Rattus norvegicus: one gene and its partner. The protein of the gene in region 2 interacts with the protein of the main gene of each other region in a pairwise test. Links are inferred from orthologs where the notes say so. Each region holds a gene or a part of one and is shown on either strand. Other genes may lie near its edges.

Region 1 (5,617 bases), on a different chromosome or scaffold from region 2:
CCGCCTCTCCAGCTCCACCCCGGCCGGCCGCAGTCCTGGAGTTTCCGGCCCCTGGGGAGATCCAGGAGCGGCCCTACGGTGTCACAGTCCCCAGATTCAGGACCCATCCTGCCCTTTGGGTGGCAGTCCAGCACCCGCCTCCCCCCGGCCCCGCCCCGGCTCCTCCCTTCCTACCCTCCCCACCATCCTTCCGCTCTTGGGGCCCTGCCCTGCCCTGCCCCCACGGCCGCCAGGAAGGACGCAGCCTGGGTCCCGTGCCAGAGCTGTGAGTGTGCGGCCCCTCCCAGTCGGGCCAGGAATGCAGCTGGACCGCGGGGGCGGCCGCAGACACCCGGCTCCGGCCAGGCCCAATGCGCTCAGGCAGGCAGGTGGCCCCGGCTTGCCCGGACCTGGAGAGCTTCTACGTGGAAAGCCAGCTGCCTGGCCCTTAAGGTCCTGTTTTCTCTCCACTAAACTTAGTGGTTTTATTTTGGGAGACCTCTTGAAAGCTCCTGCCCTTTGCTCAAAGATATATACCGGGAGTGCGTTTTATTCTACTATAACCGTGGGAATGTCACGGGATTACAAGTTTGATGTTATTTCATCCCTGATCGGCACAGATGTAAAGAAGCACACAGACTTGGTATTTCCCAAAGCTGGTTTTAATTTCCAAAAATTATGAGGTCTCTTCCCACACTGGGGATAATAGGATGGGATAGCCCAGACTATTATCCCAGTCCAACCCCCAGCCTAGCCCAAACACCATTGCTGTCTCTGGGTCCCGTCATTTCACCACTGGGAGCTTATTTCTAACTCCCTCACTGGCCAAGACAGGTGGATGGATGTGAAGTTTCCAGGACTCAGCACTGTCTCTCCAAAGTGACCCTGGGTCTCCTCTGTGAGGGGAAGCCATCTGTGTCACGTCAAAGTGGATTGGTGTAACCACCAGGCTCAACTCAGATCCAAGTCAATCATCCCTGGGTCTAAGGGTCAGCGCCCAGGTCCTGGTGGCCGTTCCAGTGCCTGTGTGCCTACTAGTACATCCATGAGGTAGTCCAGCTCAGCCTCATCCAACTCTGGAGTTTCCTCCTTGGCTGGGCCATTCTCAGGGACAGGTTTGAGACCCTCAGAGGCTGGTAACCAAAGTTCACTGTCATACATGGAGGTATCAATGTCCTCAAACAAACCCTCCAGTCCATCGTCCAACAGACAGCCCGTGGCTGGGCCTAGCAAGTCCAAGGCACCCAGGTTGGGCAGGACACCCCCGACAGAGCGGCCTGGAGGCCCCTCGTCTGCTTGGGGTTGGGGGACCTGGTTCAGGTCCTCAATATGACTGAGATCTTCCAGGAGGCTGGCCATGGAGGCTGAGAGGCCGGCGTCTGAGCTAGACAGAAAGTTATCTGCCACAGAGGGGGCTGTGGGCTGAATGGGCTCAGGTGGCAGGACGGTCGTAGGCTCCATGGACGCCTGAATTCGTCTCAGTGTGTTCACCACAAGCACCAGGTGTCGGAGGTCTGGTTCGCTCTGCCGAAGGCTGTGGTGGAGCTTGACCACCGAGAGGTCAAAGAGAGAGCTAGAAGCCACGGTTGCTGGGGTCTGTGCCACTGCTGGGCGGCTTTGATCCAACCACCACGAGTCCACTGAGAGGGACTCCATTGTTTCTTCCTCCTCCCGCTTGCGCTTCAGACCTTTGCTCAGCATCCTCTGCAGGGAGGAAGGAGTCATTCGGTTATGGAAAGCCAATACGCAGCTCTCACAACTGCTGTCAGTGTGATCCTGACCAGTCAATTGACCTCCGAGGGCTAGGTTTCCTAAGCATATTTATTTCTAATGAGATAGGGTCTCATGGAACTCAGGCTGGCTTTGAACTTGCCAGGTAAGCCAACGTCTGCTTTTCCCTTCTCCATCTCTCCAGTGCTGGAATTAAAGGTGTGTGCCACCATCCTTGGTATATTTGATGCTAGGGATGGAACTCTGGGCTTCTTGCATGTAAAACAAACATTCTACCAACTGAGCTATATCCTCAGCCCCCTCGGTGAACTCCTAAGATACAGATAGCATCTATGCTAGAAGTTGCTAACACAGATTAGATTCAAAGAACAAAAACGTAGTCATTAGTACTTGAAATTTTACTTTTATTTTAAATTTTGTGTTTGTGTGTGTGCATGAAAGTGCAGATGCCCAAAGAGGTCAGCTGCCAGGAGTCCCTGGAACTGGTTTTAAAGTAATTGCAAGCCATCTGATGTGGGAACTGGGAACTGAACTCAGGTCCTTTGTAGGAATAGCAAGCTCTAAGCCCACATAATTAGTACTTATTTATAAGCACTTTTGGGTTTTATTCTTTTGAGACAGAGCCTCACAACTGTAGTCCAGGCTGGCCAGCCATTCCAGGCAATCCTCCTGTCTCCGTCTCACAAGGGTTAGGATAGTGTGTGTGCCACTCCTTGATTGCAAATGCAGTCATCAACACACAGAGTATCTGCTATATGCATGGGCCATTAAATAATCAAATGTACAGAAACTGGTAGGAAGATGCCATCTTGGAGGTAGTCAAGGCAGGTCTTTCTAAGAAAGATACATTGAAGATGAACCCTGATGTATGCTGTGTAGGCTATGGAGAACCTGGGCCAGGTTTTCCTGAGAGGGCCAAAGGAAGACTGAGAGAGGTAAACCTGAACTGGGAAGGAAAAAAAAAAAAAAAAAAAACAAACCACACACTAGGAGCAGGCGCAGAGTGACACAGTAGGAGTCCCGGTGGGGGTGGGGAGCAGGCAGAAGGAGGCGCGAGCAGGAGTAGGAGGAGGCTTGGATTTTCAGAGTGTCAGGACAGAGTCATGGAGGGTAGGGTCGAGGCAGGAAGATGAGTGGTGACATTAGTTGGCAATGTCTCTAGAGGATCCCGGGTAGCTGTTGCCTAGGGCAAGATTGGTGGTGGGGCAGCATCGGGTGTGTGTGTGTATGAAGGTTTGGGGATAGAAGTGGGCCCAAATTGCCTGCCTTCCGAGGCTGCAGCACTTGTTGGGGTGCTGACCGCTTGAATGTAAACCCTAAGATGTTAGCAATCATTCAAGGAAGCGGTGGATCCCGAACTTATTGAGGAAAAAGAACCGACAAGGGAAACCCTGAAGGGCCGCAGGAGTTAAGTCATTGACAGAAGTTTGAAAATCCGTACTTTCTTCCAAGGTGAGAGGTCTAGAGTTTGGAACCCCTAGCCCTATCTAACGGGGGCATAAAGACTGCAGGGTCTCAGTCCCGGGGACACTAGCCTAGATCTGGCAAGACAGTAAAAACCGAGTCTTTGCCCTTTTCGCTGAAGACCCGGGAGCCGGGAACCGCAGGAATTCAGCCCCCACCCCGACTCCGCCCCTCGAGTCCCGGCGCCCCCTAGCGGTACTCCGACCTGGGTCCCCCGGGACTCCGGCCCCTCTGACCCCGGGATCCTTTAGATTCTCCGGGGTCCTGCCTGTCTCTCCCGGGTATAGCAAGCCGCGACCCCCGCGGGTCGCTCAGCTAGCCCGGCCTCCCCTCGCTTCCGGAAGGCAGTGGAGGCGGCTCCTCCCGAAGCGGCGGCGGCGGGGGCGGATGAGTCACGCAGCCGGAGCCAGGGAGCCGGCGCCTCCGCCCCCTTCTCGGGCTCCGACGTGATTCACCCAGCCCGGCCGGGCCGGGCGACACATACAGGCCCTGGCCCTCGATCTCGAACAGCTCTGGCGAACATCTACCTAACTGAGGTATCGAACACGCTAAATATCCCGGTCGCCCGTACCCTCGTCTTTCCCTACCAGGCCCCTTCATTTACATACCCAGATCACTCCCGACCAATCAGAACGAAGAGGGAGCCACACGCAGCCAATCAGGAAGCGGCTGCCGTAGCATCGCTAGCTCGCTGGGCTCCAGCAACCGACACCTGGGACGGCAGGCGCAGTTCTGATTCGGGCGCACGACTCCAGACACTCGACAATCCCTAGTTCCCGCCCACTCGCGTGGCAGCCCCGCCCTCCAGCTCCGGGATCCGCTCTCGTTGGTGGTGGTGGGCGGAGCCTGATCGGGGACGTTCCAGAAGGAGGGGGGAGCCTGTCTCTAAAGCGCATGCCCAGGAGGACTGCCTGAGCGAAGGGACAAACTCTGGTAGCGATTTCCCTTGTGGGGCGGTGACAGGTAGGGGTTTGGGCCTTTTTAAAGTACAGGCCTGTCACTTCATGGTGATTTTAGAATACTGTATGACTTCTGGAAGAGGACCTGCCTCTTGAGAGTTACAAAATTAACAGTTTTCTCAGTAGGATTTACGATACCGGACTCAATCTACAGTGGGACAGCTGGATTCTGCTACTATTAAAGATGGGAGTAAGGTGGGGACGGAATGACACCAGGGTCACGTCCTGGGCATCAGTTCCGGAGTAGCTGTGTGACTTTGGGCAGCAGTTTAAGTCCCTGAAAATAATTTCCTGCGGGGCGTGGTTGTTCACACCCATAACACCAGCATGGAAAGACTTAAAGCAGGGGGATTGCTTTGAGTTTGAAGCCAGCCTGGACTTCAGAGTGAGATCCTGTCTTTAAAAAAGAAAGAAAGAAAACGACGAACTTTCGTTACTTTAGTTTTTGTGACAGTTTCACTAAGTTGCCCAAGTTAGCCTGGAAAACAGAACAGCCTCTCAAGTGACTGGAACCACAGGCTTATGCCACGCCTAATAGTCTTTTTGGTTGTTTGGTTGTTGGGTGGTTAGTTTGCTTTTAGTTTAGTTTTTGTGTATATGTATGTTTTTGTATGTTTTAGTTTGGGGTTTTCGTTTCGTGTGACAGGGTTTTTCTGGATAACAGCCATGGCTGTTCTGTAACTCGATCTATAGACCAGGCTGGCTTCTAACTCAGAGATTCACAAACCTCTGCCTCATGAGAACTGGGATTAAACGCCTGAGCTCCACAGTGGGCCTTCAGCTAGTCTTAAAACACGGCTGGAGAGGTACAGTTTAGTGAAAGAGTTCTCGCCTAACATCCCAGCATGTTAAGCACCGGAGCTCAATTGCAGCACTGAAAAAATAAAATGAAATAAAATGGCCGGATGATTTACTAAGGTTAGGATATCAGGGGCTGGAGAGGTGGCTCAGTGGCTAAGAGTGCACAGGACCTGGCTCAGTTCCTGGTTCAGGTTCAGTTCGGCACCCACATGGCGGCTCACAACTGCCTGTGACTATAGTTTTAGGAGATCCAACACCCTATGCTGGCTTTCTCAGGCACCTGATACACATAGTACATAAACAGACAAGCAAGCACAAACACAAACAGTAGAATGTTGGGCTGAGGAGATGGCACTCCTCAGCTGGGCTGTGGTTAAAGGCACTGGTGCTGCTGAGTGACAAGCTAAGGTCTGTCCCCAGGGCTCCATGAAGAAACCCTGTCTTGAAAAACAAACAAGCAAACAAACGAACAAACCAAGGAGCTAGTCTGTGAAGCTGGAGAGGTGAGTCATCTGTTAAGAGCACTGTCTGCTCTTCCAGAAGACATGGGTTTGATTCCCAGCACCCACACAGTAGTTCAACAACAATCTATATTCCAGTTCTAGGGAGTCAGATGCCATATTCTGGCTTTTGTGGGTACCAGGCACCTAGGAGGCAGAGGTAGGTGGAACTACAGGCAAGAC
Region 2 (5,633 bases):
CTCTCTCTCTCGTAATCCTACTGGAATGTTGATCGTTCTTCTTGTTGGTTATCTAGTGTAGACTACAGTTCTGTGAGCTCATGAGTGTGATCGCTGCTTCATGTGCAGAAGACACATTCCACAGCACTCCTCCCTACCCCCCCACCCTTACGTGCTTTTAGCCCCTTTTTTTTCATGTTGTTCTTGAGCTTGTGGGGAGGGGTTGCTGCAGAAGTCTGATTAGGGCTGTTAGTCACATGTTCCCAGCACTTTGATGAGCTCTCTGCTCACCAGAGACAGAGACTTCTTGGGCCAAGGCAGCACTGATCTGTGGATATGAGCACAAGTATTCAGGAAGTAACTTGACAACATATTCATTTAGCAAAGCAACAGTGGTGCGCTCTCCTAGGGCTATGACCTCCCAGGCTGTAGGCCTTTGAGCACAAATTGTCAGTGTCTAATGACCAATGACAGCTCCATGTACTCAATATGATGACACTGAGCAATGCATTCACGAAGCCTTGAAACTATAGTTCGCTACTTTGTAACAAAGGAGTTTATATGTGTTTGTCTTTATGCCCAGCTTTCTAGAACACTGTGTGGCTTACTAAGATCATTGGATCTTTTAAGACGCCCCACTATATTGTCAGGTGTCAAAACCTTGCAGGACCAGTGCCCAGTGTTGTCAGGTAACACTTCAGATTCCAGTCCAGCTGACCTCACTGTGGTAATGTGACCCTGGTTGAATTGCCTCTCTAATGAGAATCATTCTCAAAGGTTGGCTTTCTGGTTTGTTTTAAAAGGCAAGAGAATACCAGTTGAAGGCGTGTCTCTGGTCTGCAAACAAAACTTCCATTGGTAAAGATTCTAAAGAGCCAGAGACTAAGAGCCTGTTCTTCTGGTGACTCACTGAATCCTGCCTTGTTGCTGATGGAGGCTCAGACAGAGCCTGGTCCAGCCTCTTTGAAGTCGGCCTTCCCAGAAGCCCCCAGACCAATGTCTAATGGTAGCCGTGGCACGTTGCCTTGCTGTAGTCTACTAGATCCTTGCCTCTCACCTGAAACCCTCCTCATACCCCAAACACCAAGAGTGACGGATGGGGAACAGAAACCTGCCAAGAACGATTCCAGGCCTGTCAATCACAGGGCAGTTAGTGTCCTGAGTTTTTCAGAGTGTCCAAGAAAGTAACGAAGTATAGCAAACCCCAGGTCCGTGTGTTGTGTCTCTTTCCCATAGGAAGGCAGAATCCTGATAGGATGTTCTCTGTACTTCGTAGCTCCTTACCCTTGCGTGTATTCTGCAGACTATAATGACTTACAGCCCCCTCTTGGTGAAGCAGCCGACAGATATAGTAATACTGAGGAATGCAAGCTGGGACATCATGGGGCAGACACCATGCTTCACTACAGACCTTGGAATCCAGCCTTCCAACCAAGTGTCCCGCAAAGGAACACAGGAAAAATGTCCTTTCCCAACAGCTATGGCAGGGATGGGGGTAGGTTGGGATGAGAATGGGAAAGTGCTACCCAGAGGGGACAATCATCTCCATCCACTTGCCCCTTTTGCTGCCATCTCTGGTGCTGGGGTCTGAACTCTCTCTGGAGCCCCCTCCAAGCCACTGCCTGCCTTCCTGTCTGTCTGCAGGACCGGTAGTCACTGCAAGACTGTCTGTCCTGTCCATGGAGTTGATAACTCTTCTAACAAATTCGTTAGCCCCAGAAATCCGTTATTGCACCTTTGAATCACACTGCAGGTGCAAAATCTCTCAGTACTGACTGGCCTAGGAAAACTCACACAGGCAGGGACTGTGGGGCTGCGGGAAACACCAGAAGATCAAGTACAATGACTTTTGCGCAGGGGGAGAGCACCGCGAACCGACACGTTTGTTTGTATCCTAACATTGCTTGACAGTGGTTAAGAGTGCATACTGCTGCTGCGGAGGACAGGAGGACTCGGCTTCCGCGTAGGGCAGCTTACAACCGTCTTTACCTCAGGCTGCAAGGTGATCTGCCGCCTTCGGCTTCCCGGCACCTGCATTCACGCGTACGAACCCACACAGACACAAGGATTATAGACTCAGAGAGGCCGTTTACTTCGAGGGCGCGTGACGCACCGGCGGGGCTGAGCCCAGGGCCCCGAGCGGCGGAAGGAAGGAAGCGCTAGCGCAGGCCGGGCTCCGCGGAGGCTGTGCGCCCGGGGGAGGAGCCTGAGCAGCCGGGCGGCGGGCGCAGCGGCCCAGCCATGTCGGCCGAGGAGATGGTGCAGATCCGCCTGGAAGACCGCTGCTACCCGGTGAGCAAGAGCAAATTGATCGAACAGAGCGACTACTTCCGCGCTCTCTACCGCTCCGGCATGCGCGAGGCCGTGCGGCCCGAGGTGGGTCCGGAGGTGCAGCAGCTGCGCGGCCTGAGCGCTCCGGGCCTGCGGCTGGTGCTGGACTTCATCAACGCGGGCGGCGCGCGCGAGGGCTGGGGCCTGAGCGAGGACGAGTTGGCCGAGGCCAGCGTGCTGGCCGAGATGGTGGAGGCCGCGTCCTTTCTGCAGGTCACGGCGCTGCTGCGCTTGCTGCTGTCGCATGTGCGTCTGGGCAACTGCCTGGAGCTGTACCGCCTGGCGCAGGTGTACGGGCTGCCCGACCTGCAGGACGCCTGCCTGCGCTTCATGGTGCTGCGCTTCCACCAGGTGCTGTGCCAGCCGCAATTCCCGCTACTGCTGTCGCCGCCTCAGGCCCCCGGGGACTGCAGCCTGAAGCAGAGGTTGCGGGAGGCCCGCATGCGCGGGACCCCGGTCCTGGTGGCCCTGGGGGACTTCCTCGGGGGACCCCTGGCTCCGCACCCGTATCAGGGGGAACCCCCGTCCATGCTTAGGTATGAGGAGACCACAGAGCGCTGGTTCCCCCTGGCCAACAACCTGCCCCCCGACCTGGTGAACGTCAGGGGCTACGGCTCAGCCATCTTGGACAACTACCTCTTCATCGTGGGTGGTTACAGGATCACCAGCCAGGAGATCTCGGCCGCACACTCCTACAATCCCACCACCAACGAGTGGCTGCAGGTGGCTTCCATGAACCAGAAGCGGTAAGTGCAAGGGGGTGGGGGGTTCTGCACCCTTCATTCATTGCCCTGGCCAGAGGCGATGGATGGCATCTCACTTAGTGCTGCTAAGTGCTCCACCTCTGGTGGAGTTCCCAGTGAGCCCAGGGCTTGCCAAGAAGACAAGCCGTGTATCAGCTAGCCTAGTGGTCTTCTTACATGTGCAGGCCCCAGGTAAGAAGTTTTTCTGCCTCAGAAGAGCTTGCAGAGAAGGCTATTGAGAATTACGGAGGCACTAGCAGTAACTGGTAACTCTAGCTTGTTGTTGCTGATGGCGACTTTAGATCCTTCTCACTTGGGTAGGAGAGAGTGCATCCACTCTCCCTAGGACGATGTAAGGGATCGCCATAGAGCATTCTCTTTTCTTTTCATTCTCTCTTCATTTGTTTCTTATTACCTCCTAAGACAGCAATCATCTTTGACCCAAAACTTGAGCCTGGAGCGGTCAGCTACAGAATGGGTGTGCCCTTGTCTCTCTGCGTCTGTTGTCTACCTGGGAGGCCTCAGACACCCCAGTCTGGGTGCCTGAGTCCTTTGTGACTGTAGCATTAGCATATACATATAAACCCTACATGTACACATACACCTATACATATATACATTAGCATAGAGCGTATGTATATACAACCTCCTGCATATGTTCAGGTGGTTTTCCTTTATTTTCGTATGCTCCTCAGGCTGGTCTTGCAGACCTGCCATCCTCTGCCATCCAGCCTTCAGAGAGCTGTTACTTATGACTTCGAATGTAACACATTTACCACGTCAATGGTTGTCAGATGGCATTGGTGAGGGAATGACAAAAACCAGTGTGTACTGTTCAATTTCTCCCTCTTACTGTTAGAAGATGTGTTCCTTTCCACCTCACCCATCTTTCCCATCCTTCGAAGTAAGGAAAAGAGAGAATGAAAGCAATATAGAGAAGCAAATAAAGGAAGAGCTGGGAAAGAAGACACCAGGAAGAGGAAGGGAGTAAAGGCCGCAGTCCCAAGTGGCCTGGAGGAGAGGTCAGGGCTTGTAGAGTGGGCCTGTTGCCCCAGCTGCTTGGAAGGCTGAAGCAGACAGATCCCAAGTTAAAATTCTTTCTGGGCTTCAGAGTGAATTCCAGGCCAGCCTGGATAATGTAGCAAAACCAGAAAGAGTAGGGGAAAGGTGTCTCAGTGGGAGAACGCTAGTCTAGCAATTAGGAAGGCTCAGATCTCACATTGGATGCCAGTGTCCTAGAAGTGGAAAGAGTAACCACACAGGACAGACACACTCTTCTCTCCCCACTTCCCTCCCCTTACCCCTCTCTCCCTCCCCTTCTTTCTTTTCCTTCCTTTCTTCCTTCCTTCCTTCCTTCCTTCCTTCCTTCCTTCCTTCCTTCCTTTCTTCTTTCTTTCTTTCTTTCTTTCTTTCTTTCTTTCTTTCTTTCTTTCTTTCTTTCTTTCTTTCTTTCTTTCTTTCTTTCTTTTTCTTTCTTTTTATCTTGGAGGCATAGTTTGTCTTCATAGTCCTGGCTGTCCTGATTCTCACTCTGTAGATCAGGCTGGCCTTGAACTCAGAGATCGTCTTGCTTCTGCCTTCCAAGTGCTGGGATTAAAATTGTGTGCCGCTGCCACCCAGCTGAGGCTAGGTACTTTTTACCAGGCCCCCTGATGCCATCCAAGACCCACTGTGGTCTCTTCCAGGTCCATAACAGGAAAAAGGGACCTTTAGGTCAGAGATTATTTGCAGAAACATACCTTGTTCTGATGGCTCAGAGGTTAAGAGCGCTTGCTGTTCTGTGCTCAGCATCCGTATCTGACACCCCTTGACAGTCTTTACAGGCACTTACATACACTGGCACACAAATAGACATAAAATAAATCCTAAAAATCCTGGCAAGCTGAAGTGTGAGAGGCAGAGCTGAATGCTCCCTTCCAGAGGTACTAACTAGGGGGTGGGTATGTTTTCACTCAGCCTCCGGCAATATGATACTTCCATGGCTGAGATGATACAGTAGCCATCGCTGAGATGATACAGTAGCCATCGCTGAATGATACAGTAGCCATGGCTGAGATGATACAGTAGCCATCGCTGAGATGATACAGTAGCCATCGCTGAATGATACAGTAGCCATGGCTGAGATGATACAGTAGCCATCGCTGAGATGATACAGTAGCCATGGCTGAGATGATACAGTAGCCATCGCTGAGATGATACAGTAGCCATGGCTGAGATGATACAGTAGCCATCGCTGAGATGATACAGTAGCCATCGCTGAATGATACAGTAGCCATGGCTGAGATGATACAGTAGCCATCGCTGAGATGATACAGTAGCCATCGCTGAATGATACAGTAGCCATGGCTGAGATGATACAGTAGCCATCGCTGAGATGATACAGTAGCCATGGCTGAGATGATACAGTAGCCATGGCTGAGATGATACAGTAGCCATCGCTGAGTGATACAGTAGCCATGGCTGAGATGATACAGTAGCCATCGCTGAGATGATACAGTAGCCATGGCTGAGATGATACAGTAGCCATGGCTGAGATGATACAGTAGCCATGGCTGAGATGATACAGTAGCCATGGCTGAG

What was found.
Region 1: the proteins of Klhl42 (region 2) and Sertad1 interact in binary tests that used the Homo sapiens proteins (3 or more experiments, as listed by UniProt). The two-hybrid records come from large-scale screens. The link is inferred for Rattus norvegicus from reciprocal best matches to the Homo sapiens genes KLHL42 and SERTAD1.

Annotation. Positions count from the first base shown.
Region 1 is NC_086019.1:91,901,574-91,907,190, reverse strand, and holds Sertad1 (SERTA domain-containing protein 1), read right to left. Parts: upstream 3,895-5,617; 5' UTR 3,783-3,894; intron 1,684-3,782; 5' UTR 1,681-1,683; coding exon 970-1,680; 3' UTR 626-969; downstream 1-625. UniProt on the Homo sapiens protein: Acts at E2F-responsive promoters as coregulator to integrate signals provided by PHD- and/or bromodomain-containing transcription factors. Stimulates E2F1/TFDP1 transcriptional activity.
Region 2 is NC_086022.1:181,733,057-181,738,689, forward strand, and holds the start of Klhl42 (kelch-like protein 42), read left to right. Parts: upstream 1-2,175; 5' UTR 2,176-2,220; coding exon 2,221-3,056; intron 3,057-5,633. UniProt on the Homo sapiens protein: Substrate-specific adapter of a BCR (BTB-CUL3-RBX1) E3 ubiquitin-protein ligase complex required for mitotic progression and cytokinesis. The BCR(KLHL42) E3 ubiquitin ligase complex mediates the ubiquitination and subsequent degradation of KATNA1.